Linked DNA regions of Struthio camelus. The protein of the gene in region 1 purifies or fractionates together with the protein of each later gene. This does not show direct contact. Links are inferred from orthologs where the notes say so. Each region holds a gene or a part of one and is shown in the gene's direction. Other genes may lie near its edges. The genes, in order: STRADB and CAB39.

Region 1 (15,329 bases):
ACTGGTGCAGAGGGTTATTTCTCCTCCAGGGCAGGACTCTGCATTTTCCTTTGTTGACCTTCATGAAGTCCCTGTCAGCCCATTTCTCTAGCTCCCTCTGAAAGCCAACACAACCATCTGGTGTTATCAAACGCTCTCTCTAGTTTTATATCATCTCCAGACTTGCTAAGTGTGCGCTCTGTCCCACCATCCAGGTCATTAATGAAATGTTAAGCAGTACTGGACCCAGTATCGAACCCCGGGGCACACCACTAGTGAGACCTCTGGCTTGACTTTGTGCTGCTGATCACAACCCTTCAAGTCTGGTAATTTAGCCAGTTTTCAATCCACTTCCCTGTTCATTTATCTAGCCCATATTTTACTGTTTTTTCTATGAGCATGTTGAGTCACAGTGTTGAAAGCCTCACTAAAGCTGAGATAAACAACATCTACTGCTCTCCCTTCATCCACTGAGCCAGTAGTCTCATCATAGAAGGATAGAAGGCTTGCGAAGCGTGATTTTTCTCTTCATAAATCTGTGCTGACTACTTCCAGTCACTTTCTTGTCCTTTACATGTTTAGAAACGGTTTCAAGAATTATTTGCTCCTTTATCTTTTCCAAGTATCAAGTTGAGGCTGACTGGCCTGTAGTTCCCCAAATCCTCTTTCTTATCCTTCGTGAAGACAGGAGTGACATTTGCTTTTCTTCAGTTCTCATGAACCTTCCCCGGTCACCACGACCTTTCAAAGACTATCAAGAGTGGCCTTGCAAATGACACTGGCCAGCTCCCTCAGCACTCATGAGTGCATCCCATCAGATCCCACGGACTTGGGTGTGTCCGTTTTAAGTGTTCCCTAACCTGATCCTCCTCCACTGAGGGTAAGCCTTCATTGCTCCAGACCTTCCTGCAGGTCTCAGGGACCTAGGATTGCTGAAGGCAATCTTCACTTACCAGTGAAGATCAAGGTAAAGAAGGCATTAAGTACCTTTTCCACATCCTTTGTCACCAGGTCCCCTGCCTCATTCAGCAGCAGGCTCACATTTTCCCTAGTCTGACTCTTGCTGTTGATGTGCCTGTAGAAGCCCTTACTGTTCACATCCCTCACCGGATTCAATTCCAGGTGGGCTTTGGCTTTCTTAACTCTATCCCTGCATGTGTGGACAGTGTCTCTGTAATCCTCCGGCGTCATCTGTCTCTGCTTCCACTTCTCGTATGCGTCCTTTTTATGTTTAGTTTTGTCATGAGCCCCTTTTTCACCCATGGAAGCCTCCTGTCACTCTCACTTGACTTCAAGCTCAAGAATGGTCCAGCCAGATGAGCAGGGAGGAGATGAACCTTGAAAATCAACCAGCTCTCCAGGACCTTTCTTCTCTTCAGGGCCCTATCCCATAGGATTCCTTCAGGCAGATCCCTGAATAGGCCAAAAGCCTGCTCTACTGCAGTCAAGTGTTGTGATTCTGCTATTTGTCTTGTTCCCTCCATTCAGGATCCTGAACTCTTCTATCTCATGGTGGCTGCAGCCAAGGCTGTCCCTGATCTTCACGTTCCCAACCAGTTCTTCCTTGTCTGTAAGAATGAAATAAAGCAGAGCACCTCCCCTCATCAACATTCTCTTGGGCAGGAGAAATTCTAGCCCAATCACTAATCATTGCAAAAAGCTCACAGGATTCATGATTAATTAACAAGCTGTCGGAACAGTTTGATTTTTTTCCTTGCAGTTACTAGATTTTCTGAGGGCAACTTTCAGTAAGCTTGCTTTTTGAATAACTTTTTGACCATCATTTTAAATATAGACCATCGCTAGAATCCACATTAGCTCTATATTTTTCAAGAAGCACTAATAACTTAACTTCAGTGACGTTTTTAGCATGCTAAAGTGTTGACATATAAAAGATTAGTTATTCTAGTTTGTCAGGTCTTTTCCATTCTTATTCTGTCCAAAGAACTGGGGAAGAAACAGCGTATAAGCTTGTTGGAATGTGCGCTTCTTTGCTAAATTGTCATTGGTGTTATAAGAAGGAATCATTGATGACAGCCAGCCATGTTCTTAGAAAGTGCTTCAGGTCTCCATATTCGTCAATCTTTATTTCTGAGTTAAATAAGTGCTTTAAAAAGTAAAAGCCTCAGAGTTGTTCTTACTGTGTTTAGGATGTAAGCCAGGCTTGATACAAGAAAAACTTCCTCACAAGACACAGTATTTTTCTTCTCTGTTTTCCAACAAACATGCTGAAGTTATATCCCCTACCTTGCAAGTCCTTTTGAGGGACTTTAATATGATATTCAAAATTAATAAAAGGAAAAAAAAAACACTCAAGCATGTAATATACAGTTAAGTAGGTAACAAATAATAGCAACAGGAAGAAGCTTGCAAATGGCCTTATTAAACATGCATAAAATGCCAAAATTACAATTTTCTTTGGTTATTTAAGCTTTGATCCAGAGACTGTTCCACTGTTGGATGAACTATGGTTACGATCTCTATCCTTGGTCATAGTCAAATGCTGCCAAGTAAGCAAATTCAAATCGCTTTAAAGGAGAAAAGATTAGATAGTTACAAGGCAATTTAGTATCATAGCGCTTGGGACTACAGCTAGAGCCTGAAGCTGGTAACAGATCTGTTCACAAGGGCAATCCTGCCTAAAAGATGGGATATGTCAGCAGCCTCATGCCTGTTTTTTTGCCTACATCACACAGAACACGTGTAACGTATAGAGTGCAGTTACACAAAGTATTAAAAGCACCACAAACAGCTGGATGGCATCCCAGAAAATAATCACCTCGGGACCGATGAAATCGTTTCTATTTCTAAGCAAAACTCTTCATGTATTACAAGAACTACAGTTCTCCAACAAACAACTGAATCCTACATTCCTTTTTCACGGAAAACTCATGAAAGCCTAACACTGAAAGTTGCGGCCTCTAGGTCTCATAAAGTAAATGCACTGGGCTGTGCCACTTACCGGCGGCAATAGCTGTGCCACATGAGCGGCAAAGCAGTGAGCTTTTGAGAAAAACTTTCAGAGCCAAGAACTTGCATTGCCGTTCTTGATTAATAACTTCAGCCCGTAAATTGAATGAGCGCTCTCTGGACGAAAAGACTGCATTTCTTAATAAACATTCTCTACAAGTCAGGTCTGATAAGTATTCTAGAGACATGCAACTGAAGGAATTTGTAACTAACAAGTGACTTTTTCCTTTGTTTTCTCACAAAACTCAAATCCTTGTCCAATTTCAAAGATGCCATCCAATGCAAGGCGAAATTTTTTTCTTAGTCTGGCAACTTTCCAGCTCTCTAGCAAGGCAGGGAGAAGTCCCAGGAATTTATTTGTAAATTTTGCTACGAGCTGTATTAAATTTAAGAGAACTTCCTTGACTAAATTTATTGCATGCATACAAAACTTATAGCAGATTCACAATTACACATTTTCAGAAGAGGTCTAAAATTAAAGATCAGGAAGTTTTATCCACTAATATAGCAGACTTATATTTCTAAAAATCTTTCAGTGGGGCTTTCCCAACAGACTCCTCAACAGAGACTTTCTCACCGGATAAGTGGAAAGGTTTTTAAACAGTAAGAAACAAGGGGAAAAAAAGTGCTTTCATAGCAGAGAGAAGTATTCAGTGAGGTTTCTTCACAACTGATCCTGTATGACATAAAGTGGAAAAACAACTGGGTCATTTTCATCTCCAGTTTCTGCTGTACACAGTTAAGTTAATACCTATATGCACAAGACACAGCTCAAATAGCAGCGCAAGTGGTTTTTTGTGAAATAAAACAGAATTAGCAATCCATATGCTAAAAGCACGATGTAGGTACATGGTGATGAAACATTAACAGAATTCATAGTTGCACACATCTGAAAATAAGCAAACTACAAGTCATTTAAAGCATGCAGTCTTACTGCAGCATTTTCTAGTCACACTCTCATATTTGCATGTATTTATATTGTGTATTTACAACTACTCTTCCCTGCATTTCAAAGATTTAAGTGTCATGGAGAAATGTGAGATAATAGAACAATACATTTCACAAAAACTATTTCCTAGAAAGTTTTTTTCACTTACAACTACATGACGCTGGCTGATATTATTTCAAAGTCACTATTTTATTTTATGCAATTAGTTTAATCATCTGAAAAAATATTTCCTCTGTAATTCTTAAAAAAAAAAAAAAAACCTCAATAGTCTATACAGGAACCAAATAGCATCAATTAAAAAAAAAAAACACTATGGTAAGTGCTACAGCTATTTTACATGACTAGAAATTTACTATTATGTGAGAAGGATACTTTTAATTTCTGTAGATCCACACAGCCAGGATGGTTTTAATTCAATAATAAAAAGGTAGTCACTGTAAAGTGAGAAAAATTCAGCTGTGCAGGAGAGAGTTTCTTCACAAAAACTCTTGAGTCTTTTCCCTTTATTTTTAATTTATTAAAATGCAAACGTCACTTCCTTTCAGATTTGATTTAATATCTCTTCTAAATAGCTGAAAGCAGAACTACTATTTGTTGTGGGTCAACAGCAGTTCAGTGTGGGAGGGACAAACAAACAAAACCCTCCATCATTTGGCTGGAAGCATTCTAGAGCGCCAGGCCAATATCAAGCTATTGAACTGAAAGGGCGAACTCATTAGCCGAGTCCTTGAGAAACTTGCTAGATGTCAGCATTAGCTTTTATGGTGTTTGCACATTTCCAATACTTCTCATAGCTTTATTCCACTGTGCCCTAGGGCAGCATTTCTGAAAATCAGATAATCAGATAACACACTGTGCAGTACCACCCTGAAGGTGACTCCATATTCCTTTCACTCTGCAGCACTGCAACTATAAAACTACTCCCTCAGTGCAGCTTCCTTCTGCAAGTTACATCTAGCTAAAACCCACAAGATTTACAACATGGCTGTAAAATACATGATCCTGATAAACACAGGAACATATATTTCAGGAATTCAAATAAAGCTGTTATATCACGCAAAAAGACATAGCCAAAGCAAAAGCCATAGACTTTCTCAGGTATTATTTTACTCCTAATTTAGGATCGACAGTCTTCCCTCTGGAAGCACATGACACAAAATACATACGTATATAAAAATTAAACACCTTTTGGAAAAAGCAGACAGTGATTACGGAAAACTGTCACATAATTTAGGTCCACTACTTGTACCATCAAATGAAAAAAATTAAAATATTCAATTTTAAACATGCTTGCTTGCATTGAAACACTGAATTTACACTAGCTCCATTTGACTCTCAGAAACTTAGGAATAAAAATCAAGTGATTAAAAACAGAATATAAAAATACATTTTAAATTATTTTGAGTATGGAAACTAAATGAAAGGCAAAACACCCAAACATAACTAAGATATGTTTTTTTTTTCCATACAGGTTTTCAGTTTTAATAAGCTAAGTTGTTAATTAGAGAAATAACTGCTGAAGGATTGAAAATGCATTTATAAATTGATCCTAACTTTTTACGTTGTCTGTACAAGCAGACAAGGCTGCCTAAAAAGCAAAATTGGATTAGAAATGTTTATTCGATATCTTACGTATTAATAGAGTGCAAAGCACAACACTGAGCTACTGAAAAATAAAAAAGTTTTACATTAACCTACTTTAATTGATTTATGTATTTTTTCCTAGGTTTTCTTCAATTAAAGTTCTAATTTGTCAAGTGGACACTCAAAAGAGCTACTAGCATCAGAGATATTGAAGAAAACACTTCCTTTTCAGTATAGTTTAGTGTCAGAATTAGTTAAACTTGTATTTGAGCAAAGACTAGTATTGGGGGGGGGGGGAGGCTGTTTAAAAAAAAAGGAGAAAAAAATCTCTCAAAAGCAGAAGTATTTGTATATCATATAAAAATAGCTCCATCGTACCTTGTCATTTTCTGGCTAGCAATTAAAGGACAGAAACTTTAAGCATTATGCTATTTTTTTATAGTACCACCTGCCCTTCTGGGAATTTTATTCTTAAAAGAACTTCTTTGACAGATACAGAGTAGCCTCTGGTTCTGCTACTACTTTGCCATGTAAGAGCGGTAACTAAACATTTTCTTATTAGAATTTTATTTTATTAAATATTTTAAATTTTGAATGAAAGGAGCTTCTCTGCTTATTTCATAATCTTTATCATATAACCACACAAAACTGATAATACAGGGGATCAATTTAGTCAGCATACATGAATTCTATATCAAAACATCAGTTTTAAAGTTAGCTGTAAAACCCATGCTAGCTTCCCTTTATAAAGAAGGGAGTAAAGCTTTCAGTCTCATGTTGGAGCATTAACAGAAAAAACAGACATTAGCGACGAAATAAAAGACAATAGCACTTGTATGTTTTTCCTTACTTTGCTGTAAAAAAAAGATGGCCCTAAAACTTCTTTTCTCCTCATTCCCGCTTTCACAGTCTCATGCTCCTTTTTTAACCATGGAACAATAAGTAACGCCAAGGACTGGTATCCTAAGCTCTGTCACCAACAGCAGAACAGAAGAGTGCTACTACAGTGCACAGACAGGAACTGCTGTCTTATGACTTAAATATTTCATGTTATTTTTAAAGCTATAAAGCTTCAATTCCACAAATGGACTCTCTTTTTTTAATTGTTTGAAAAATTCAGTTCAATAGCTGAAGTTCATTGTTTTGTTTCCCAAGCATTTTAATAGTTACAATTATGTATTCACTAAAATAAACCAGACTGATCTATATGACCCAGTCACAAGAGTGCTGCCATTAATCTAACTAGATAAAAGCATCTGTCATCTCTTTGTAACCATCTCTGTGAAAATGCTATTTTGCATCTTCCTGTAAAACTTCTCAATGAATCACTGGTCTGTTCTTCCTGCAAAGACAGCCTTTCTGCTATGCAATACTCACCCCAACAAGCCTCTGTTATAGTAAGAGCAAACCACCATCAAAAAATTCTGATACACGCTGTACTCCTTAAAGCAACGTAGAAAACTGAGAAAACAGACCAGAATTTAAAGTATATTTAGTCTACCTGACAAGCGTTACTTATTAGCTGGTGTATTTCCCTTCTCCTCCTGATTCCCGATTCCTCCAAAAGAGTTCTCTTTCAAACAGGTGAGTTGATGTTTGCTGTACCAGTATCTGTACCTTCACAGTCTGCACATCTAACTGGGCAATATTAGGTGTGGATGGTAATTGGAAGGGATGGAAAAAAAACAAACAGGTTGTCCTTTAGGCAGTGGAACTAATGAGGCCTGGGTTTCCACAGATGTGTTCTACTTTTTTCATTCCTCCTTTCTCCATCGCAATAAACCCAACTCTAGGTATGCTACAACTTGCGGTGGAACCTGAGTATGAAATAAGAAAGGAAAGGATTGGTCCCTTTCATCTAAGGATGTCAACATTTACTCTGTTAATTTTGTTCAAACCTCACCACAGCTTGGCTGGCATACACGTGAACTACAAATTAACTCCTTCAACAATATATTTTGCACTAACTTAGCTTAAAAAAAAAAAGTACAAGATAATAAAAGATTAACTTCAATACTTTCTATATAATGTTGTTAGCTAACATGCTTAAGCAACCATAAGACAATTAGCTAGTGGTGCCTCTAGTGACTGGTTACCATTGCACAAAGGACTCCTGAGATGTCTGCCTATTTCTGCTCAGAAATGCACCTCTTGGTCTCAAGAAAAGACTGCAAAGCAACATAGTCAATTTTAGGTTAACTTTCAGACGCTTTTCACATAACACAACCATATTATTTACTAGCACATTAAATATTTGTATCATACTGTCACAGTCAGTCAACAATAATTTTGAGGCGTAACCAAAAAGCATGTATTCAACAGTCTATAGTTGAAGATTGTTTAAAAAGGGGGGAGGAGGGAGGCCAGGAATGCAACTTTGTGAAGCACTTTGTCACTAGTACGGTTGACAGGAAAAAAACGTTTACTGACAGATACTCTTACTAAAGTTTAACCAGAAGATTAAAATGCAATTGTAATCGAAAGGTTAATGAGGCCTAAATCTCCTGCCCTCACATCCTCGAGCGAGCAGAACCACAGCTCAGATTTCATCGAGCTTTGCTTTATAAGAGCAAAGACACCAACCTCCAAGCAGAGCAGTCCGATTAGCGGTACCCCTAGCGCATGGAGGAGCTCGACAGCACGCTGAAGGTCGTGACATCCGTCATGCAGCAGTAACCGATATTTGCAGCACGAGTCTAGCGAACCGCGCAAGCCCGCGGCGCCCCGGCAGCCACGCCGGGCACAGCGGGCGCGCGGGGGCCACCCAGGTGCTCGGGGCCCCCGAGGCCGGCGCGGCGGTCCAGGCAACGCCCCTAACGGCTAGGGGCAACGCGGGCCTGCCGGGGCTTGCGCAACCGGGCGGCGAGGAGGGGACTCGCCGTAGCGACGGGGCCGCCCCGAACGGGCGCCGAGCCCCTCTTACCCGCCCCGCGCTTGCCCTTGCCCCGGCGCTCCCCGCCGCCGCCGCGTGCAATACCGCGGCCGCCGAGGAAAGGCCCACTGACTTCCGCCCGGTTCCCGCCGCGGCGGGACTACAGCTCCCGGCAGGCCGCGCGGCGGGGCGGCACCGCCGCCGCCACGAACTACAAGCCCCGTGACGCGCCGGGGCCGGGGCCAGGAGCGAGGCGGGGCTCGCGGCTCGGCTGCGCGGCGCCGGCCCCTGGCCTCGGGCGGCGGGTAGGAGCGGCGGCCGCCGGCGCCGCCTTCCCGCGGGGCTGCCCGGCCGCGGCGGGGGCAGCCGGGCCGGGCGGGTCGGGGAGGGCGGGAGGAGCGGCGCCGCCGCTGCACGCAGGCACGCCGAGCTCGGGGCAGCGGCGCCAGGCCGTCGGGCAGCCCGGGGCCGGGGGAGGGGGGGCAGCCGTGTACGAGCGAAGGGAGCGAGCGGGAAGCTGTCCCCTGAGGGGCTCCCGGGGCGCTGCCTTTCCGTATACCGTACTTCTGCCGCAGGCGCAGTCATTTAAAACTCGAGGTCTGTCATAAAGAACCGTTTCAGTCACTCAAAACGCGAAAGTAACTCAGTGAGCTACAGCCCAGGGTTAACAAAACTAGATTAAGGCGCAGTCAGGGTACCTGGGCTTTGGCTGTGGAGCTTCGGCCGTCCCTGAGGTTCACAGACACGTTTGTCTGTTGATCGATGAACTTCCTTCCCACATCGCCCACCGACTCTGAAGCTTTGGGCATGTTGGGATGAATGTGTCCGATCAGCTGTATGCTGCTATCGCAATCTGCAGTATACAGGAAGGCTGTGATACAAAAAAGAAAAACGTGGAAAGGTGGAACAGGTTTATGTAGTGATGTGATCCAAACCATACAAGAAAATGGAGGCAAAGTTAGATTATGAAACAAAAAAAAGTCTTAAGTCTTACTAGTGTTATGTGAACAAACGTGGATCATGGACAGCTATGTTGGCTAGCTATACCCTTTTATAGCTTTTAACTAGTTCGCCAATAACTTCGCTTCAGTGTATCCTAGTTACTAGGACTTGAATCAGCTTAGCTTTTGTGGTTTCATATTCCAAGCAACAGAGTAACTTACCTCGTATAATAGAATAAGCCATTTTCTTTCCAGCTTGGAGGAGGATGCTCTAGCAGTGACTGTGCTGGACCATGTCTTGGAACATCGGCGGTGTCTCCAGCTCTGCCACTTCCTTTGTGAAAGTGGGTAAGTCAAGCCCAGATCTTTTGAAGAAGTTAGGCAGCAAAATATCACCTACGGATCTTTTTAGCTCTCTTTTCATCTATAAGACACAGTTACAGCATTTCCTTACTTCAAGTAGCTGTTGAGGGTAAAGAGGATTAGGAGATGCCCGTTAAGGTATTTTAGCAATAGACGGGTGGTGGGAGCTTGTTAGATTTTTCAAGAGCGTTGCCAGGATTAAATGGCATCCGTAATTTGAATGGTGCATGTAGTCAAGTTTAGTGCCTTGATAATCAAAATCATCAGTTACTCGTATAGTACTTCACCTTTTTAAAATTAACTTTCAAACAATAACTACATATTAAAATGGAACTACCTCCTGTAGCTTTGTCAGCCACCAAGAAGGATTATTCATGGCAGAGAAGATGCACACTTGCAGATCAGTGAGTAGCTAAAGGAAATTAGCTAATCCCACTCTGCCCTTCAGAAGCTTTGATACGCTTGTTAGACATTGTCATCTTCCTCTCTCCTCATCTCCTAAATTTTCAAAGCGTTAGATAGAAAACAAGTCTGCTGGAAGACTTTGAGTGGCTAGGCTGATGTGCGAGGGAGTTTGGGCTGAATGCCGATTCTGTAACCTAAGTAATGAGAAAGCGATCCGAGTTGGTTCCTCTCCTTTTTAACTCCTGTTCTTCATGGTAGTACTTTCTTCTCTTGCTTGTGACATACACAGTGCAGTTGCTTCTGGCTTGCTTTTTTCATGAGCTAGTTCGGCTGCAACAGCTGAGCTGAAATCTGACTAGTACAGCTGTGCTCCTTCAAAGCAATAGCTGATTTTTCTTTTCTATAAACTGCCAGTGATCCATGAATCTGTTTCCTTTTATTTTGTGCACTTATGCAGTTGACTTGCAATTCAATTGCTTGTTCAGGAAAGTTTAGAAGATATCCAAACCCATTAAACAAAAAGGAAAACAGTAGTTGGAATGTACATTGCATATTCTCAGTGTGGCATTTGAAATCCATGTGCTGCCTAAAGACTCAGTACAACTAAGTAGGCCTCCCCGGTTTTGTAGAAATTCTTTGGAATTTTTGGAATTTTTTTGTATGTGATATAAATTTTAGTAAGAAGAGGTATTTTGATAACTGAGAGGAACACCTCACAATTTTGATTAAAAAGAGACAGACATTTATGCTCAGGATTTCTCAGTGCTGGGCCACAGGTTGATGTAAAATCTTACAGTGATACTTTACATTTTTCTAGGATAAATGGATGTATATGACTTTTCCCCTGCTCTAAAGAGGTTCCATGTCGTGTTTGGTAAGTTTATTTTTAAAAAGCATCGATAGTTGCACCTTGTTATCCAGTTATAACTCAATGTGAAAAAGTTCTAGTGAAATGTCTTGCTGTACAGTTGAAACACTTCACTTGAAGGATTTCCACAGTGATGAGATACTTAAACTTTGTAATACCAGCTTTTGCTTATGGAGGATATTTAGTTTCTCTTCTCTCTAGGTCTTACCTCTTGCCTGACTTTCTGAACTACTGCTCATAAGGGCGTTATTTCTGATGTTCTCACATGATCACATTTAATAAGTTATAGCAAGTCTACTAACATTCACTTGTTTCTGTTTTCAAGGACTGTTCCTGTATTCTACGTACACGAGTTGAATCAATCAGACCAGAAAAGCAATCTCAGAGCAGCATCCATGAATATCTGGTAAGAAGAAAATAAAAATGTTAACTGGCAAAGTTATACATATTAAAATTACTACATACCAACAATAATCTCACTAAGTCAGGTACTTTTTCAAATATTAACTTAGAAAAATAACCAGAGTCCTTTTTGGGGCTTCCACTTTGGAAGAAGACTACAGGTAATAACTAACTAAAATAGCTCATGTAACTAAATCTCAGGATAGTGGTAAAAGCATCAGCTTGAGTGTTGTGACTTCAGTACTCGATCTTTGCATTTTCATTAATGCTGTTTCTCTGTTAAACGTGCAAGTGTACATAGTAATTTTGAGAACTGTTTTTTCCTCACTTGTAGGCTGATTCTGATCTAGCCTGGATTCCCCCAGCTACAGGAGAGAATGAAATGATGTTTTGCTCTTCCAATGTCTCTCACTATGAACTCCAGGTGGAAATAGGTAAGCTAATTGTACCATAAAATACTACTTGTTCTTGCAGATGTGTTCTCTTGGGGCATTGCTTACTTCAGTGAATACTTAGTAAGGCTGGCAAACCTATCGGCCGAATAGAACCATTCTTGGGTCTCTTTAGTTAAGGATGAGAGAGGTTCTGTGCTTTTTTCCAGTTATCACTTATTTTAAAAATATAAAATCAGTTATCTGAATTTTTCTCTTGATGTGAGCATATGTGTGCACAGCTCAGTTCTCTACGCTTGTGGTTATACGGGCAGTAGATAACACATTAGGTAACACTGTCTTGTCACTTGGCTGCCTAAGATGATTGTCCTAAAATAGCTGCCCTCAATCTTACTGTGCCTATATCTGTTTATGTGAATGTGCGTGCTAGAAGCATTGTTCATTTACATGTGGAAGATATGTAATTGATGCTGAAAAAACGTTTAAATGCTTTTAGTTGCTCTAAAAATAGAAAGAGCCATGTTTTAACTAATTTGATGCATGTATTTTGCTGCAACTACTTAAGTTATTGACATGCCTAAAGAAAAAGACATGCTGCTATATCAGAATTTTAAAATGATCTCTAAATATGAAGCAAGTTATGGGTGCATTATTATATTTTTGCCAATGTTAACCAAGGTAGCCACTTCTGGTTTCAGGAAGGAGATTCAACAACTTAACTTCAGTCTACCTTGCACGGCATACACCTACAGGGATGCAAGTTGCTGTAAGGATCACAGACCTAGAAAGTTGCTCTGAAGAGCATTTGAAAGCTTTGCAGGTAAAGCAACAGCACTGCTGCACTAGTCTGATGAAGGCCCCAATGAATATATATAAGGTTACTAAACAGAGGTAGCCCTCCTATATGAAATAGGTCATTTAAGTTTTTCCTTTAAAAGAGTACAAAGCACGGTAAATATGAAACAGAACTACTTTCCGAATAAAACAGTTAACAAGTGTTTTAAAAAGACTTCTGTAATTGTACCAAGTGTTTTCCTTGAAATACGTTCTGTATTCTGCATTTACATCACAACCTCAAACTACATTTATTTCAGACAAATGCAATCATAGGCAGGGTATTTGCCTATTTTTTTGCACGCTGTGCACATCAGCTGCAACATTAGCATAAATGCACACAGGGAACAATTCTTTCTACTAACTGATGTAATTAATGTTCTTAGCAACAGTTGTCTTCTGGTTAACATAACCACTTTTATTTAATTCCTTAGAACGAGGTGATTTTATCCCACTTTTTCCAGCATCCCAACATAATGACACTTTGGACAGTGTTTACAGCTGGTAATTGGCTTTGGGTCATCTCTCCGTTCATGGCATATGGTAAGAACTGTTAAGTGCCATTTTCAAATAAGAGAAAGGGCCATAAGAGATTTTTCTTTTAAGCATCTTTTGTCCCAAACTAAAGAAGTCTTCCATACATGTTCTTCCTCCCCAGTGACGTTTGGCATTCAAACTGCATTAGCTTGCACTTCAAGTCCTGACATCCACTATCTGAGGAACGTTAGCTGGGGAATGCATTTGACTTGATGCACTTTTGAATTTTGTCAACAGAAAACCTGTCTGGATTGAGTACAGGTTCAATTAACAGAAACCTGACTTGAGTGTGATCTTTGCCTGGTGCAAGCTGCTTCCATATAAGCGTTCTTCATGTACCATAGTCAATACAGAAGTGAGAATACTGCTCTTTGTGAATGCAATGAATACTTGTTTGCTTAGCTAGGTTATCTTCTCTTCTCTTTCAGGTTCTGCTAGACACCTGCTGAAAACTTACTTCCCTGAAGGAATGAGTGAAGCTTTGATAGGCAACATTCTGTTTGGCGCAATCAGAGGATTAAATTACATGCACCAAAATGGCTACATTCACAGGTAGGAGAAAATCAGTGACATAGGTGAGAACCAGATTACAGCTGAGAGCTCAGTTTCCCTTCAAAACCCATTTTCAGCTTTTCTTAAGTGTTGCCTCCTTTCCTTCTTCTGTATACCTTTTTATGTCAGATAGTGCAGAAGCATTTTTTTTTTTAAATAACAGAGCAGAATTTAGTTTGTAGAACCTTAACAAGAACGGTATCCAAACATTATTTAAACCTGTTTATAACACCAGTCCTCTTATTTAAATCAGTGTGTACATCTGTCTGGTTCTGTCTTTCTGAAGCTGAAGAGAAAACAGTTGTAGAGAGGGCTTGCTTGCTTTTCACCCTTTGCAGAGAAGGAAAGCCCTTCTCCAGTTTCTGGCAATCAGTTTTTCTTGGCAATCATTTCTGCCCTCACTTGAGGTTGTATTAAAAAGACAACTCATACTGAGTGTGTGATAATAAACTGCTAAACAGAACTGTACTTTAACATCTCAGTATTTTATGAATTAATGAAATATGAAAGCTAGTACTGTTTTGAGTAATTTGTATAACTAAAATTTACCACTTTGTGTTACAGGAATATTAAAGCTAGCCACATTCTGATTTCAGGGGATGGTCTGGTTTCTCTCTCGGGCTTAAGCAACCTCTACAGCTTAGTTAACAATGGACAAAAGTCAAAGGTGGTATATGATTTCCCCCAATTTAGTACATCCGTGCTTCCTTGGCTGAGTCCTGAACTACTGAGACAGGTCAGTACAAATTACACTTCACTTTTGCTATCCAAAGATACTAAGTAGTTAATTTCTGGCTTAAGTTTGCTTGTAAAAGGGCAGTGGAGGCTGCTGATCTGCAACTTTAAAATTAAACAAAGAGGTACTGAAGTTATTAAAACTCTCCTTTAGAGAAGAAGTTTCTAAGCTGTTGTTAAGACGCTGCTGTGCTACTTTCTTCTTCCTGGGAGCTACTGCCGATCTTAAAATTTGTCTTCAGTTCACCAGTCAGATTTTTGACCATAGTATCAGGTTTCACACCTCACTAATTATCCCATTCCTGTGTAGAATATGGGATATCCTGAAACGGGCGTTTGTATTTTGGTCTGCCCTGATCAATGGCTTCAGTGATTTAGGCTGATTCTCTTTCTCCCGCAGGATTTGTCTGGGTATAATGTGAAGTCTGACATTTACAGTGTGGGGATTACAGCATGTGAACTAGCCAATGGACATGTTCCATTTCAAGATATGCCTCGCACTCAGGTTTGATGCTAAATTCTATTTCTCCTTCAATACACTCAGAACTTTTTTTTTTCTTTTACTCAGAGAAATCAATGCTATTACTATTGAAACAGTGGCTGTTCTTTGTTATTTCAAATCTGCATACTTCTTCCTAGACCAAACTCCAGGAATGGAAAGATTATTTAACAGCTTAGCCTGATTAGCTCTAAACAACTGCTGGACTCTGTTATACTTCCATTCCTTTCCACTAGATGCTGCTGCAAAAGCTGAAAGGTCCCACGTATTGTCCTTGGGATATAAATACCTTCCCCCGTGGGGAATCCAGGATGAAGAATTCCCGATCAGGTGTTGATTCTGGAATTGGTGAGAGCATGACACGCACAATGACTAGTGAAGGACTGCAAATTCCCTTTTCCAAAACGTTTTCCCCTGCTTTCCACAACTTGATAGAACTTTGCTTGC
Region 2 (15,308 bases), on another chromosome or scaffold:
TCAAGTAGCTGCATATATTAGAGTCCAGGTGGCTGAAGTTTGCAGTAGTCTCAGTAATCAACCTTTTCTGGCTCGTTTTGAGATGACCTTTAAGGCGTAGAGTTGAGCAGAGGCCACGGAGCACCTGTATCCAGTACTTTACTCTGACTTTTTTTTGTACCTAGTAGCAGCTTTTCTTGGTGTTGTATGGGGCTGGTTTCTGTTCAATTCCTGCAGCTCCTGTGTTGGCCAAGCTGCGTCAGGCAGATGCCCAGCAGCAATCGGCACTGACGTGGGACACCTCTGATGTCTGAAAAGGACTGGATGCAAAAGCGATCAGTGAAGACTGAAGCCAGGAGCAGGCTCGCAGAGTGCTGGTGGCACTTGTGCAGTCCGGTTTGGGGGAACCAGTGGCCCAGCGGAGCATTTGCAGAGTGGAAGGAGCTGAGTTTGTCTGCGGCTGAGGAAGGATACGTTCCCAGCCTGCAGTACAGGGAGGACTGACTCCTAATCCTGGCCTCCACTGTCTGTGCTGTTGGACACATTGCTTCGTCCAAAGACCTCCTCTCTGGAGGTGCTAAACGTCAATCGTATCTCATTCGGTCTGCAGTTTAGGCTAAGAGTGTAGGGGCCTGGCTTTAGATACCCTTGTTTGAAAGTGTTACCCTCAACTTCTCTTCCTTGGTGCTCTCAGGTGTGAAAGTTGTCAAGTACTTAACATTACTGTGATTACTCCAAAATTAAGTGATTTGGTTTTCTCTCATTTCTCAAACATATTTAGTCCCTAGGAGACTAGAGAAAGAGAAAGTGATGCTTGATGGGCTCCCATTCTGTCTTTTGGGGTCTATATTTGTGCTGTGTATTTGCTACAGAGGAGAGAGATTGGCATAACCTCAACCTGTGCTGATATAGGTCTGTTATTTCTTGCCCTGTCTGTCATGGATGTGAAAAAGATACTTCTTTGCACCAGCCTCTAAAATATTTGAAAACTGTTATCAAGTGTCCCCACTTCCTTTCCAGATTGAACAGCCATATTTTCCCCATCTTTCTGTGCAGACCACGTGTTTTACAGGTCTTTGATCGTTCTTATTAGTTCCTTCTGGCCTGTTCCCAGGTGGCTGCTCTGGAATTCCCTGCTGGATTTACCTTTTAGGAAGGAGAGATCAAATCCAGGCTATTTTAGTAGGTGTTTCAGCCTCCTGATGTAAATTCACTAGTAGGCTAGAAACAGGGCTGCCTTGTGCAAAGCAGTGAAGAGTTAAACTGTGGCAGGCTGACGGGGAGGCGCAGGTGGTGAGTTACATCTGCACGGCACAAGGCTTATTCTGTTTTAGAGCATAAAATCTGCCAAGGCAGTAAACACACCCGTAAATCAGAATTGTTAAATGTGCCTGAGCGCAGCCCGCCAGCGTGGCTTCTTGGTCGTTGGGCTCACACAAGAGTGAAAGGGTTGCTTTGCAGCGGATTTAAGAGTGATGGAATGAGCTGGTGCTGCAGGCCGTGAGCTCCGTGGTGGCCAGCAGCTGGGCACGTACCCGGCGTCCTCCCTTTGAAGGCGTGCCTGTGCGGTGGGACCCAACATCCTGAGGATGTTACCTGACTCTGAAGGAAGAAATTTTGGCTCCTTGCTATGCTGCCGTTGGGTGCATATCTGCGCTAGGTAAAGTGCCCTCTCCCCTCACAAGCAGATGATAAAGCGATGGAAGAGAGCTCGCTGTTGGCAGGAGCGAGCGCGCGCGAGTCCCTGGCCCGCAGGAGGTGCTGGTGGGCAGGCTGTCAGGCAGGCGGATGGGGCAGCGATGGGCGAGGTTGCTGCTTCTGTTTGATTTTTATTGGGTCTGCTTTCATTAAACTGCTTCTGTTCTCAGAGCATGCGATGATGCAGATATTTGTGAAGTGAGAAGCAAAGTGCGGGTTCTGCCCCAGGAAAGAAGCATTAGCTGCGGGATTGGAGGGCTGGCAGCTTGGAGGCCATGGCTGGGGTAGCTGCTGTTTGGGGCATGGAGAACGAGTTAGCTGTGACGTGCACCTCAGAGCACCTTCTGGACCCTGCGTTCCCTCCCTGGTGGGTAGGCTCCAGTTTTGTGTTGCTGTAAGCAAGCGAACATCAGGCAGAGGCTCTTTATTTAAAGAGGTTGCCAAAATAACTAAAAGGTTTTTAGTCCGGGGAGGGGTTCAGACGTTTAGTTCTGGTTCAAAGCTGAGGTTTAAAAATGAGGGTTAAATCCCTTTATTAAAAGGTTTAAACCTGTCGGTTTTCCAATGGCTGTAAATCACAAGCAGTCCGTACTGAAGTCCGGTGTCGCCCGAGGGGTGGTTTACCTTCAAAGTGTTGCAGTGGAAGAAGGATGTGAAGGAGAGCGGTAGATGCCAGTGAGGTGACTGGACCTGCCGGCTCGGGAGGGGTACAGTCAGTGTCTGGGCAGGTAGGATGACTCCCAGGGCAGAGGTATGTAAACTGGTGCTGCTTGGTGATTACTCACTGCCAGATCGTCCCAGAGGGGAACAGGGTTACGTTTCCTGATTGACCTCCGTTCAGTAAGTTGTATCCACAGTATCACCTCTCAAATTGGTGCGGCAGGGTCCTCCCAAGGATCATGCGTCCCGCACCCTGGCCACGCTGGGGTAACTGGGCAGATTGGGATAATTTCTCTGTGCTTGAGGTGTGCAGGAGAGCATCTGCAGCCATTTCATTTTGTAATGACAGCCACCTGAGAGCACAGCCCAGGGGCAGGAGGCACCAGCCAAGACTGGGCAAAGGAGTGCTGGGCAGGGGATCTGGCAGCACCATCGGAGTCACCTTGGGCAAGTCCCTGAATGAGGTCAACGGTTGTCGCTGCTGGTTTTGTGGACTGAGCCCTTTGGGTGGGACTGGGCTGGAGAGGGTAATCTGCCTGAAGGAGACAAACAGGAGAAGGCCTGCGAGGGGAAGGCGATCTGAGGTGCCTGGAGGCCTGCACCTCCGCAGACCAGCAGCTGGGCGCTGCGAGGAGGATGTGGGGAAGCGCACTGGAAGCCCTGCCGGCGGTGGCTTGCACGGCTGGCGGGCTGCCGCCTACCTGTGCCGTGCCAAGCGTGGCAGGCGTTTTGTGGCTTCAGTGGCAGGCAGCTTTCCCAAAGCAGAGGGAAAGGTTCCTGCTCTCGCGAGAGTTTCGGGGCAGAGGCCGGGGCGCTATGTGCAGACCTGAGGCCTGCTCTCCATCTCCTGCGGCTGCCAAAGTGAGCTGGCAAATACTGCCCATTGCTTAAGCGCGCTTCTGAGCACCCAGCGGCTGAGCCGGGCCCCTGAGCCAGCCCAGGCCCCCAGCATGGCCCCGAACGCCGCAGGGTGGACGGAGCAGGGCCGGTCCTGCCCGCTGAGGCGTCAGAGCCCCCGTGACGTGCGTGCTGGGGGCAGCAGAGAGGCTCGCTGCCTGCAGACGATGGCTTGCTGGGGAGAGGCCGGTGGCGGGGGCACCCCTCCGTGCGCCGGCCTTGTGGGGGGACGTGGCGTTGATGCACGTGACTGGATAGCAGAGACGGGCCTCGTTTAGGGAAGCGGAGGGGAGCCACAGCAGGTGAACTGGGGTGCCAGCCCTGCCAGGAGCTTCTCTGTGAGGTGCTGTGCCAGCAGACTTGTCTCTGCTGGGAAGCCCCACAGGGCGCCCTGCCTTCACCATGCAGTCAAGTGCCGTCTTTGCTTCAAGAGAGGCTTTACGTCCCCTGAAGATAGACTTAAAAGTCCGTTGTAAACAAAATAGTGTGACAGAGCAGGTCAGACCACGAGGGGTTAACGGTGTCTGCTGGCTCGTGCCTTGCGGGTGCCTGGCTAGTTATCGGCATGTTCATGTGCCTGCATGTTTACTCCAAAAAATGTTCCTCCACAAGACTCCACCTCCTCCTACGGTCCTGGGCTGACTTGGAGCTGACCTAGACAGATGTGGGGTGACACCATGTGTACCAGGTCACCGATTTTGGCACATGGGTGGGAGGTGAGAAGGTTTTGTGAAGGTAAGTGGCTAGGAGAGAGTTGTGTGGAGAGAAAGAGGAGGAAGGAATCCAGGAGCTGAATGCTGCCCCCTCTGTTATCACAAAACCACTACCTTGCCTTTCCTTAGCTGTCCTTCCTTCTGTGCAGTCATATTTTTGGCTGGGGGGAAAGAATTTGGATGAGCTCATGTCTGCCTCCAACAGACCTGGGACAGACTGAACAGCAGACCACGTGCTATGGTGCTGTTGAGACTGAAGGAAAGACAACTGGGAAATAGGCTATGAAAAGAAGGGCTCCCAGGCAGATTGCCCTGCTTGGTATCCTCGTTGTCTTTCTGGCCTCTGTTTTGGAAGTGACCTTGCTTACACGTTCTCCTAAGCCTTGTTGTCACATCCAATGAAGACTGAGAGTTCATGTCCTCACAACCATCTTTGCTGTCCATGCTCGAGGGGTCGCATCTCAGAGCAATGTCTTGCCCAGTTTCCATGGTATAGATAGGGGCAGGAGCACAGCTGGAAGCTCAGCTACTCAAATGACATTTGCATATGGAGAAAGAGGACATCCGTGGCATAGGATGATGCTACATGTAGCACTTTGATCACAAGTGGTATTGGACATCTCCTGGAAATGCCATTCCCTGGAGGTAATGGACTAATGACATCTCTGAATCCAGCTCCTTTCCAAAGGAGTACTCCAAAACGTGCTAGTGCTTGCTTTAGTTCCTCAGCATGAGTTGGTTGTAGCAGCTTCATGAGTGGGCTCTTGGTATAGGAAATAATTATCAGTACGGTACTAGCTGAGTAGTTTTCAACTTTTCTTTCACCTGCACCCCTCTAGCCTTTGTGTTAAGGATCCGCTGATGTTCCTGCCATTGCTCAACGTGTCACCTGTCTAGCCAGTTAGCAGTTAGCTCCTGGGCCCTGGAGGAAGTCTTATCTACTTCTCAGCCAGAAAGCTGCTGGTTGCAACATGGGATCTCAGGCCAAGAGTGAGCTATAGGAAGAAAAAAATCTGATAAGCTGTGTGGGTGGTGACATGCTGGCAAAGCTTTAACTTCTTGTCTGTGCTGGAGCGATGGTGAAGGAGGAAGTGAGCAAAGCTTGATGAAGAAAAAAAGCGAGCTTTTGAGGGAGTGCTCTGAGCAGTTCCTGAGCTTTCCTCGATGGGCGTCCCAGGATTTGTTTCTTTCAAGAGGGCAGCTCTGGGCTTTGTCACACTCTGTGTGTGTGTAATGTTACCAGGTGTCACCTGATAACATGCCTCATCTATAATGCAGCAAATAGTTTATTCAGTAAGCTTCGCTTTCACAGCAACTTCTGCATCTGTGCCTGCCTCCCCAAACCCTGGTGAAACGGGAGAACAGCACCCCATATGCAGCCTTTGCACATCCCGTACCGCCTGTTCCTTCTTGGCTTCTCCATTGCTCAGAAGGAGCTGGGGTAAGTTTCACCTTTGTGAGACAAATATCTCTTCAGTGACTATGAGTAAACTCAGCTTTCATCCTGACTCGGCCACGTGCCAACAGCAGCTTTCTTTTTATAGTACGTGTGTATACATGTGCTGACGCCACGTCCTGACCCCTTGACACAAAATATGTTGTCAGCATGAATGAAGCAACGAGGCTGGTCATCGTTAATTCTTTGCAGGAAGAGGAACTTGCAACGTTCGTGCCAATGCATTGTCCCCGGCCTTGTGCAGGCAGGCTTCTCTCGCAGGGTGCAAAAAGATGGCCAGGAAGGCAATGTGCTTATAAACAGTGATTCTAATATGCTACTTGTTTTTGGTTCTGCAGAGGCTGAAATTGCAGCATCCGGAAGAAGTGATGAAACACTTGGTTCATTTTTTAACACACTTGTCACTTCGCTCTTGGTGCAGCTCAGCTGGCTTCTGGGGACAGCAGAGTACACAGGCGATTAGGATGGGAGGGCACGAGCCGCAGGATCTTCGGACTTTGCAAGCCACATCCAGCCTGGATTGTGCATAAAATCACATCCTGCTCTTTAAAGTAATTTCTCTATCTCTCTTTTTTTTAAAATATCTATTAAAGCAAAAAGCAAGGACAATTCTTATACCGTTGTTTTATAAACATTGTATTTTAGAAACACTGTTTGGTTTTAGCCTTATCTCTCCCGTCTTTAATTTCTTTAATTTTTTTTTTTCTTTTCCAAATATTATCTAGGAGACTGTCTTTTTATAGGGATGAGGATTTCTTATCACTCTGGGGAAACCCGAGGGTCTCGGGCACCCTGCCAGCTCTTGTGACACTAGATGGAAGAAGACAGACCCTCCTGGGGTGAGGAAGCAGGGAGAAGACAGAGCTGTTGGGCTGCTGCGGAAAGCTGTGTGATGCTTCAAGAGCCAGTCTGTGAAGGGGGAAAACAGAGCTTGCACCACTTTCAGCCTCTCCATCATGAGGCATGTAAAAATGAGGTGGTTTTTGGAAAAAAAAAAACAAACAAACCCATCGTCACAATTTTACTTTCTTGTTTATTTTTACTGTTAGGTGTTCTGCCCTTGGTTTGTTCCTTTAAGAAACAAGAGAAACATGGGAACTATCCAAGCGGCTGATTGGAAGGGTGTTTTTTGTGTTTTGAAGGTGGTGGTCTGTTTCTGTGTCTTCCCTTTCCCTGGTTTGTGTGGGTGGCTGTACACACATACAGGGAACTACTCTCTCACACACCTGCCTATTTAAGATTTTTTTCAGAGATATAAATTTAGCCTTAGATCTGAGTTAGCCACCTACGTACATGAGCTCCTTCTCAGAGGTACCCAGCTGAATCACGCTGAGCTGGGGGAACAGGGGGCTCAGCACTTCCCAAAATCAGGGCTGCCCACTCAAGCGCCTGAACGTGAAGGTGGGAAAAGGTAGGAACGCAGCGCGCCTCCCTCCTTTGGCAGGCAGCGTTTGCTCGGGAGAGGAGGAGGAGGAGGAAGAGCGCAGAGAAGCTTGCGAGAGGCTCGTGGAAGTTGTCCACGCGCGTTTGCTGGAGGGCCACAGCACAGATCTCGGCTTCCAGCTGAAGTGCAGCAGCTTCCCTGTCAGCTCAGCCCCAAAGCAGACCAAATCCCGCAGAGCAGCAAACCCCACAGCCCTAATCTCGTGCCAGTCATGGTAGCAGGTTTTTTTGCTGGGAGAGCTAATTAATTAGTTTCTGCAAGTCCTTTGAAGGTGTAAAGCGCTAAGGAAGTGCTTACAGCATTACCCCAGAGGGTGTGGGCTTCAGAGCTTAATGGGAGCTATTTAAATATGAACCTTAGTAAACTCCACTCATATCTCCTCTAAAATGGAGCGAGGGAGTGAAAAGAACAAAGAAAACGAGCAAGGAGAAGGTTAATACCGTCTCTGCCTTCAAACGTTCAGCCTGAAGGGGCAGGGAAGGAAAAGGTGGAGGTTGGTACAGTTTCACTGGCTGCTGCGGGTCAGGTCCCCGGGCTCTCGCTCGGTGCCCGCGGCCGCCGCTGCCACGGCGTGAGCGGAGCCAACCTGGCAAGGGCACCCGACATGCTCCTGCTCCCGCTCCGCAGGGGCCGCGGCGAAGGCGGCGTTCGCTCGGAGTCCTTCGGGGAGCAAAGTCCAACGCTGTTTTTCCAAATCAGGCCTTCGTCACAGCGAGCCGAGAGGAGGACCCAGCGGTGAATCGCAGCCCGAGGGCGGCGGGGACCTGAAGGCCAGGATGGGGATGGGGACCTGGACCCGAAGGCCAGGCGTCTGTGGGGATGGAGACCTGGATCCTGCTGGGATGCGCTCGCTGCAGCTGGAGATGCTCCCAGCTCATCTGTCCTCTCCACGTGTTGATTCATCCTTTGGGTTTTCCCTCCCCCCCCTTTTCATTCTCCGTTCCTACTCGGGCAACGTGAAAGCAGATGACAGCACACGTATTTCTAGTGCTGGTAAAACATTGCTTCTTTGCTCGGCTTGGCTTTCTGAATGAGCTTTTCTACATCAGCACGGCTGACAAAAAGGGTCGGTTTGGTGGCACTGACCTTGAGGAAGAGTCACTAAAACAAGTCAGCGTCCCGAGGTCTTAACTCTTTGCTTCCTGTGCTCTGACATAAACCTGCGCAGGAATTGTCTTCGTCTTTTATCTATTTAAAATAGAAAATTATTAAAAGTGGGAGAACATAAGTGCTGAGAGAAAAATAAAAGTTGGAAAAGCAGGTCTGCCTTAAAGAGCAGGAGGTAAAGTTTCACCGGGGCGGCTCAGGGGTGGATTTCGTTGACCTGGGTGAGCGGCTCGGGGGGTTACGGCCCTTCGGGCGCGCTGAATCCCCGAGGGGAGCGAGTGCTCCTCCAGTGAAACGCTGGGCGCAGCGGGGAGGGCAGCGGGTCGCTGTGCCCCCCTCGCCGCGTCGGTGGCCAGCGGAGGGGCCCGCGGGCCTGACCTGGCCAGCGTAGCGCCCTTCAGGCATTGCAGCCCACACGCGTCTTATTAAAAGTAGGAAAACTGAAGCTGGAACCCGTTTCTTTCCTGCAGAGTTTCAGATGCACCGATGTATTTGCTTGCAGTTTTGTCGAGTTAGTCATCTATTTGACTATGGGTTTTTTTTGGTCTTTTGTTACCCAGGAAATGCATTCTTCCAGGGCGCTGTTTTTCAGAGAGGGTTGCGTTATTTCCTTTTTATCAAGTTTACCAAGCTGATGGAAATCTTTTTTTGGTTTTAGCGTAGTAGATTCTCACTGGAAAGGATGCTGCATTTGTATAGATAATTCTCAATTGTGCCACAGAAATAAAGAGTGTATTAAAGTTACGTGGTTCTGTAGAATGACACATTCATCTTGTTGCTGTCCAGGAAATGAGTCTACAACAGATTTTTTTCCTCTGATTATTTTGCTCGCTGTTTTACTGACAATCTTTACATGCTACTTTTAATTCTTGTGGTTTGCAATAATATTTTTTCAATGTGCTTTAATTCGGGAACGACAGCTTGAGCCGAGGATAAATCATAGCATCCCTGAGAGAAAAATTTTCCTGATACGGGTGACCACTAGATTCACTTGGGCTGTTCTACTGCGGATAAGTTTTGGCGGGGGTCAGTCTGTTCACCGTGTATTAGTCGAATGAACGGAAAGTCAACAAAATGCTCACCGACGGGTGTGTCTTTGAGAAAAGTTTCTAGAGGTTGGACTGAACGTGCAAAGCCTAGCAGAGGTGCAGCACGGTTTCGGGCAAAGTCACAAGCACTTGCGAAACCTGGGTGACTAAATTTAGCCACTTCAGCCTGGCTTGGTCAGAAGCCCACGGAAAGGCTCAGGACTCTTGCTCTTCCAAACGTTCAGTAGAAGGTATTTAGCACAGCCGGAGCGGTTCCTAGCGCTAGTATTTTCTCCCTCTCCTTTCCTGAAGCGCTTGTCAGGGAGCACTAGCCTGGGTTTTGGTCTCTGAATCATATCAAGGCATGCCCGCGGCCAAGCCTTCTTGAACTGAAGCAGAGCGCTGGGGGTTGGTTTGCCTTATTCATCCTTTGTATGTTTGTCGAGGCGAGCTGGAAGGAAGACCTAGTTTATTGTTTTAAATGGTCTGTGGCGTTAGCTCAGCTGACTGTTGAGATGGCCGCGTAGTCAGGCAGCGGGGACACCTCTGCGCTGTCGCGTGGATGATTGTGGCACGCTACGGTAAGCGTCTTACTTCTGTCCCTGTGCTTCTTTCCTACCTTCCTGCTCCGGTCTGGGCTCCTCGGTGCGAGCTGGGCTGGTATCGGTGAGTGCTTGCTTACAGCAGCGCCAGTAAACCTCTGCGTGCCGCTTTCTGGGGGGTGACGTTTACCTTTGCTGGGGCGTTTCCACGCTCTAAGCAATAACTTGCAGAGCGTGTGGCAGGCTGCAAGGGCTGAAGCAGTGGGGACTGTGACGGGAGGCCTCCGCCTCCTTCTCCAAATAGGTCCGAGACTCTTGCTTTTTGTCTTTAATCAGAGACAGGCGAAGGAGGTTGGATGCCGTTACATCATTGTGCTAAAATGCATGTGACTAGCATGTCAGCTCCGCTCCATATTTGGTGGGAGGGAAATAGAAACAACTGCGTGACTGGTGGTGCGCGGCCCTGCAGGAAACCCCAGCGCGATGGGCGCTGGTCGTGGCCCTGGCACCCGCTCTTCCTTTTTCTTTTTTTTTTTCCCCCCTCTAATAGAGAAAAGTAAATTAAGCTTTAGCTTCTGCCTTATAGGTTGCCTCAGGCCACTTTTGCTGGCTGCGTTACTGTAAGATCGTGTTTTAGAGGCAACCGTACTGATCTCTTAAAGAAACCGACCCTAGCTGAATAGCATCCTGCAAGCATGATGCTCTTCCAAGGACGTGTCGGCCCAATCGGCATTTTGGCTGCGTCCTACCAGCCGGTGGTGCTTTCTGCAGGGTACGTGCCTTCGTTTGCTGGTAGCAGCGGCGAGCCTTGAGGAAGGCTGGCCCCGAGGAGATCACTGGGGCTGTGTGGGGTCAGTCACCCCAGGAGGAGCTCAGGGGCTCTGCTTAAGGCACAGTCAGAGGAAGAAATGAGGTCAGCAAAGCAGAGGTGCTGGAAAGAGAATTAATTTGCACCATTTCACAAGATGGAGTAATTTTTTCCCCCACTTCCACTGTTTTTTGGTGCAGGGTCATGGCCAGACGAGCTGGAGCTGAGTAGCAGGGCTCTCGGACCTTGGACCTGCAGCAAAAAGCCTTAAGATCACGTTCAGCCGTCTGCTCCTGCTGAGCAGAGCATCTACGTACTTGCCTTTGTAACTGCTTTTTTTTCCAGCAAAGTTTCTTAGATTTTTTTTTAATCATGTTTATTCATGTCCTAATTTGTAAGAATTAAGTAATTCACGGTGGATGTCTCAGTCGTGGCTGTGAATTAGTGAACTGCTATTGTGCTAGGCGGTCTCTCACACGTTGAATTTAATATCTGCTTCGTAGAGCCTAGAAAAATTATGCTCGCTCTGCTGATGGATTTCCCCGAAGTATACTACATGCTCGTGGTGATTATGCAGAACAGGTTACTTGCATGGTTTCTTTTCCAGTGGTCATTTGTAAAGCAGTAGTGTCTGTTTTCCAGGCTCTGGTGTTGCATCACTGTACTAGTGCTTGCCTCTAATGACTTGCTCTGTTCAGCACCCTGAATATTATCTGTTTAAACTTGAATGCTTTTAACATAATTACAGGGTAACAATTTGAACTCAGACATGCTCAGCCTTTTGATGTTGGCTTTGAAAACAATGATTTCCAGCTCGTAAGTGGGATATACAAACTGCCAGCATTACCTGGCCGCGTGCTGTGGGCCCAGACAAGCTTGGCAGATGGTACCCAACGGCTGTGCCACCCTGCACGGGCAGCGCGTCCCCCCTCCTGCTGCACGTTCAGAACCGCAGGGTCCATCTGAGATGAACCAGCACCATAAGTAGATTTTTTTTTTCGGCCCCACCTTCCCATTTCATTTCCCTGCCTATCCCATCTGCGCTTGCTTGCCTCTGATGTCCTGGTCACGAGGTGTTGAGCAGCTGCAGGACACATGGGAGTAACCCCACAGTGCAAGGCTGGACCCTGACTTTGCAACGCAGGAGAGCATCCCCGCTACAACGGCGCTTCGGCAGAGGCCCCAACTATTCAGCTGAACACAAAGCTCCTATGCACTTAAATGCTATTGCAGGTAGGGATGGTTTCAAGTGTGGTCAGAAGCATTTTTCTGAAAGTGAGCTGTAACATGCGGCTCACGGGGCAGGCTGGTTCACGAGGGCGGTGAAACACACTCAGGAGGTCTGTTTGCCAGGTGTTTCATAGGTCTCGGAATATCTGTCCGCATCAGAGACAGCACCAGCAACTTCATTTTGTCTTAGTCAGCCTGTTTACCCAGAAACACCACGGTTGCTGCTCAGAGAGGGGGGAACAACTGTATCATCAGGTTTTCCCCCTTCAGCCCACATGAGTATTCTGCTTTTTCTTTGTTTAATGACAGGCTTATGTTGTGAAGAAGGTTTATGGTTTCCCTTGTCACTAGTACTAAAGCCCAGGGCTGAACCTGGAGGAGAGAGCTGGGAGCTGCAAGCAGTGCTGTTGAAGGGCCCGGGAAGGGGGTGAGGAGCCAGGCTGTGAAACGCTGGAGGTTGTGGTCAGGCAGCTAAAAGCTACAGGTAGCCCAGAATGGGCAGCAGGTAGAGCTGCAAATGCAACCCGTGGGCGCTGGGGTATGCTGACCAGGCTCTGCCGAGCTGCCAGGCTTTGCCGAGCTCCCGGGAGCCGTGTGGTGAGAGAGCCAGCGAGCGTATTTGTTGTTTGGGTATGGAGAGTGTATTTTTGCTTACCTTCGTGGGTTTTTTTTTTTTTTGATAAACTTTCTAATTAGGGGAAGGGCAGGTCTGCCAGGTATCTGGGAAGAGCAGTGTGTGGAGGATGACTCTCCGGTCCTCAAGGGGAGTGTACAGGTCCAGCAGCATGTGGAAATCCCATTGCACTCGTTCAGGTGGTGCTAGGGGAATTCCCTGCCCAGTCATCTCACGGTGACTAGAGTAAATCCTTCCTCCATAGACGAGAGTTGTCAATGGACCAAACCCTCCCGTTTCCACCTCTTTCACGAAGAGCTTTCCAGTTGTCCTGCTCCAGCTGGACGAGGAGCAAAATCAGCCTCCAAACCTGCCTTCCTCCAGCTGGGCTCTGCCACTGCAGGGTGCCCAGCGCGGAGCGGGGAACCATGTGAAGTGGGGGAAAAAGAAAATGAAACGTCCCGTTTCTTCATAGCCGCTTCAGCCCGTACGCGTCTGACGGGGCCCTCCTCCGCGCGGCCCCGTGGGCGAGCGCGAGCTTTCCACCTGGCAGGCTCAGCGCGAGCCTTTCCGTGCACGCTCAGCGACGGGCGGAGGAAGAGGACTGGCGCCTCCAGCTCAGCCACCACCTGAGGCACGTGTAGGACACCAAGAGGCAGCACTGCCTTCCCAACACGGCTTTCTTCCTTTATGGCAGAAAAGGCAAACCGCAACAGGAGAAATCCAGAACAGGAGCATCCTGCTATCGAGAAAATAAGGGCACTAAGACCCACAGCAGAAAAATTTCCCCCGGTGTGACAAGCAAAGTAGAGGGAAGTAATGTGGAGATATGTAACACGGCAGAGGTAATTAAAAAGAAACCAAAGATAGAAACTGTCAGCTGAAGATGTGCAGTGCAGCAGAGCGTGAGGAGCTTAAGGACTTTTCTAAAAACCAGGCCAGTAAGTCCCAAATTGCTGTGCAGCACGAATATATCAGACACGCAGGTGCAAGTTTTCCTCTCAGAACAAAGCTTGTAAGAAATTAATGACTTGTTCCATAAAAATATATCCTTCTTTAAAATCATGTTGTGTATTATACTGTATTATTGGACAGCAGCAACTTGACACATATATATATATATGTATATGTTTGGGTATATATATTTTTTCAACTCAGGCTAATCTGCATTTGGCACAGTGAGGATAATATATTGCTGTTACCTGCCGGGGCACAGAAGTAGCCTGAACCTGTTCCACATCATGAGCAGAACTAGCAGAAAACCTCAGGACTGTAATTCATCAGCAGTCCAATGAAAGGAGTCGTCTAAAGTCCAAGCGCAATATACAATACTGCATCAGGACCCAAAGTCTGAATACAGCCGAAGCCCAAGGCTAGAGACACAGAAAAAAGTTTTCTGGCAGGGTCAAGGATATAAACTCCCTTCAGCAGAATTAAGTTAAAGAAGATAGTGACCAAGACATAGTTGGACAGAGGTATTCCAGCCCAGGGGAGCGATACTGCAGAAGTTCTCCCAAAACAGTGCCCAAGGGCTGCCCTGGTTGTGCTCCCCAGAGCCGTGGGGGCCGGGCCGTGCAGAGGTCTCTGGAAGGCGTGCGGGTCCTGGGGCTGCGTGGTGCTAAGAGGCAGCCCGTGCGATCCCGCTCTCTCCTTTGCAGAGCTCCTTTGCTCCTCAGTGGACCGCCTCCACCACTGGAGCACCTCCACCATGGCCCCTGCTGTGGGAGCACCTCCACTGTGGTCTCCAGCATGGGAGCACCTCCACCATGGCCCCTGCTGTGGGAGCACCTCCACTGTGGTCTCCAGCATGGGAGCACCTCCACCATGGCCCCTGCTGTGGGAGCACCTCCACTGTGGTCTCCACCACTGGAGCACCTCCACCATGGCCCCCGCTGTGGGAGCACCTCCACTGTGGTCTCCACCACTGGAGCACCTCCACCATGGCCCCCGCTGTGGGAGCACCTCCACTGTGGTCTCCACCACTGGAGCACCTCCACCATGGCCCCCGCTGTGGGAGCACCTCCACTGTGGTCTCCACCACTGGAGCACCTCCACCATGGCCCCTGCTGTGGGAGCACCTCCACTGTGGTCTCCACCACTGGAGCACCTCCACCATGGCCCCCGCTGTGGGAGCACCTCCACTGTGGTCTCCACCACTGGAGCACCTCCACCATGGCCCCCGCTGTGGGAGCACCTCCACTGTGGTCTCCACCATGGGAGCACCACCACAGCAGCAGGGCAGTGCTGGAGCAAGGCAGGTGGGCGTGGTGCCAGCCCAAGTTACAGCTGCAGGCAGGATCCCTCACCCTGGACAGGCTTGCCTGCACGTCTCCCTCCTTTCCCACGTGGAGCGGATAGCAACTTTGGGTCACAGCATGCTAAAAATAAATAGCTTGTTTTCCAGGCAAGCTGTGTGTTTGTCCCCTTGAAAACCGCCCCAGCTAAGCTGGAGATGGTAGGCTCAGGTTCTCTGGCCAGATGTGGGCGTGAGCGTGTTTCCCTCTCTTTAAGCACCCAGCACCGGCAGCGCTGCTGGAACATGGGCCGTTGCCTTCACAGCGGGGCCACTTTCCTAATTTAGTCACCTCCGTCGGCTGAGAGAGGAACGCAATGGCTAATGCTGCGTTTTATGATTTAGCAGAGCAAATGAGAAACAGGCTAGGATCAGGGGGATGCGTTCGAAGAGCAGCGGCAGCCCACGCGTGCACTTCTGCGAAGGTTGCATGAGTTAGGCGATTATTGCTTTCTGCTGAAAAGCCATGTTATTTCTGATAAGGTGAGGAGATATCTCTGTCTGGTTTCCTGGTGTGCTAGGGCACCGGAGTAGAAGTCTCTCTGTCCTCCTCGCACTCTTCTCCCTCTGCAAGCCTGACTAACCAGCTAGCCAGGTTACTACCTGGGTTACTACGTATTTCACCCAGTGGTTTGCAGTTTGGCATTTTGAAGTTTTAACCTACTGTTTCCAGACTTCTTCATACCTGAGCCCCTTCCCCCAAACAAGACCAAGAGCGCTTTTCAGCCTTTCTGGGGGCTGTTAGGGCCTCCGCGTCTTAGCGTTTGCACTGTCTGCGGGAAAGAAGGTGCCCTCTGGGCAACGGGGTGGTGTTATTTGTTGTGTGGGTCAGCAAGCTAG

Evidence for each region.
Region 2: the proteins of STRADB (region 1) and CAB39 purify together in Homo sapiens (affinity purification with mass spectrometry; 3 studies listed by BioGRID and IntAct, counting the BioPlex papers as one, with this or other methods). This does not show direct contact. The link is inferred for Struthio camelus from reciprocal best matches to the Homo sapiens genes STRADB and CAB39.

Annotation. Positions count from the first base shown.
Region 1 is NC_090947.1:10,284,176-10,299,504, reverse strand, and holds the start of STRADB (STE20-related kinase adapter protein beta), read left to right. Parts: upstream 1-8,071; 5' UTR 8,072-8,131; exon of another isoform or gene 8,132-8,203; intron 8,204-8,599; exon of another isoform or gene 8,600-8,659; intron 8,660-9,052; exon of another isoform or gene 9,053-9,550; 5' UTR 9,551-9,643; exon of another isoform or gene 9,644-9,651; intron 9,652-10,880; 5' UTR 10,881-10,925; coding exon 10,926-10,937; intron 10,938-11,256; coding exon 11,257-11,337; intron 11,338-11,667; coding exon 11,668-11,767; intron 11,768-12,423; coding exon 12,424-12,545; intron 12,546-12,993; coding exon 12,994-13,102; intron 13,103-13,524; coding exon 13,525-13,648; intron 13,649-14,212; coding exon 14,213-14,384; intron 14,385-14,783; coding exon 14,784-14,888; intron 14,889-15,118; coding exon 15,119-15,329. UniProt on the Homo sapiens protein: Pseudokinase which, in complex with CAB39/MO25 (CAB39/MO25alpha or CAB39L/MO25beta), binds to and activates STK11/LKB1.
Region 2 is NC_090950.1:9,267,793-9,283,100, reverse strand, and holds the start of CAB39 (calcium-binding protein 39), read left to right. Parts: upstream 1-9,082; 5' UTR 9,083-9,544; coding exon 9,545-9,563; intron 9,564-15,308. UniProt on the Homo sapiens protein: Component of a complex that binds and activates STK11/LKB1. In the complex, required to stabilize the interaction between CAB39/MO25 (CAB39/MO25alpha or CAB39L/MO25beta) and STK11/LKB1.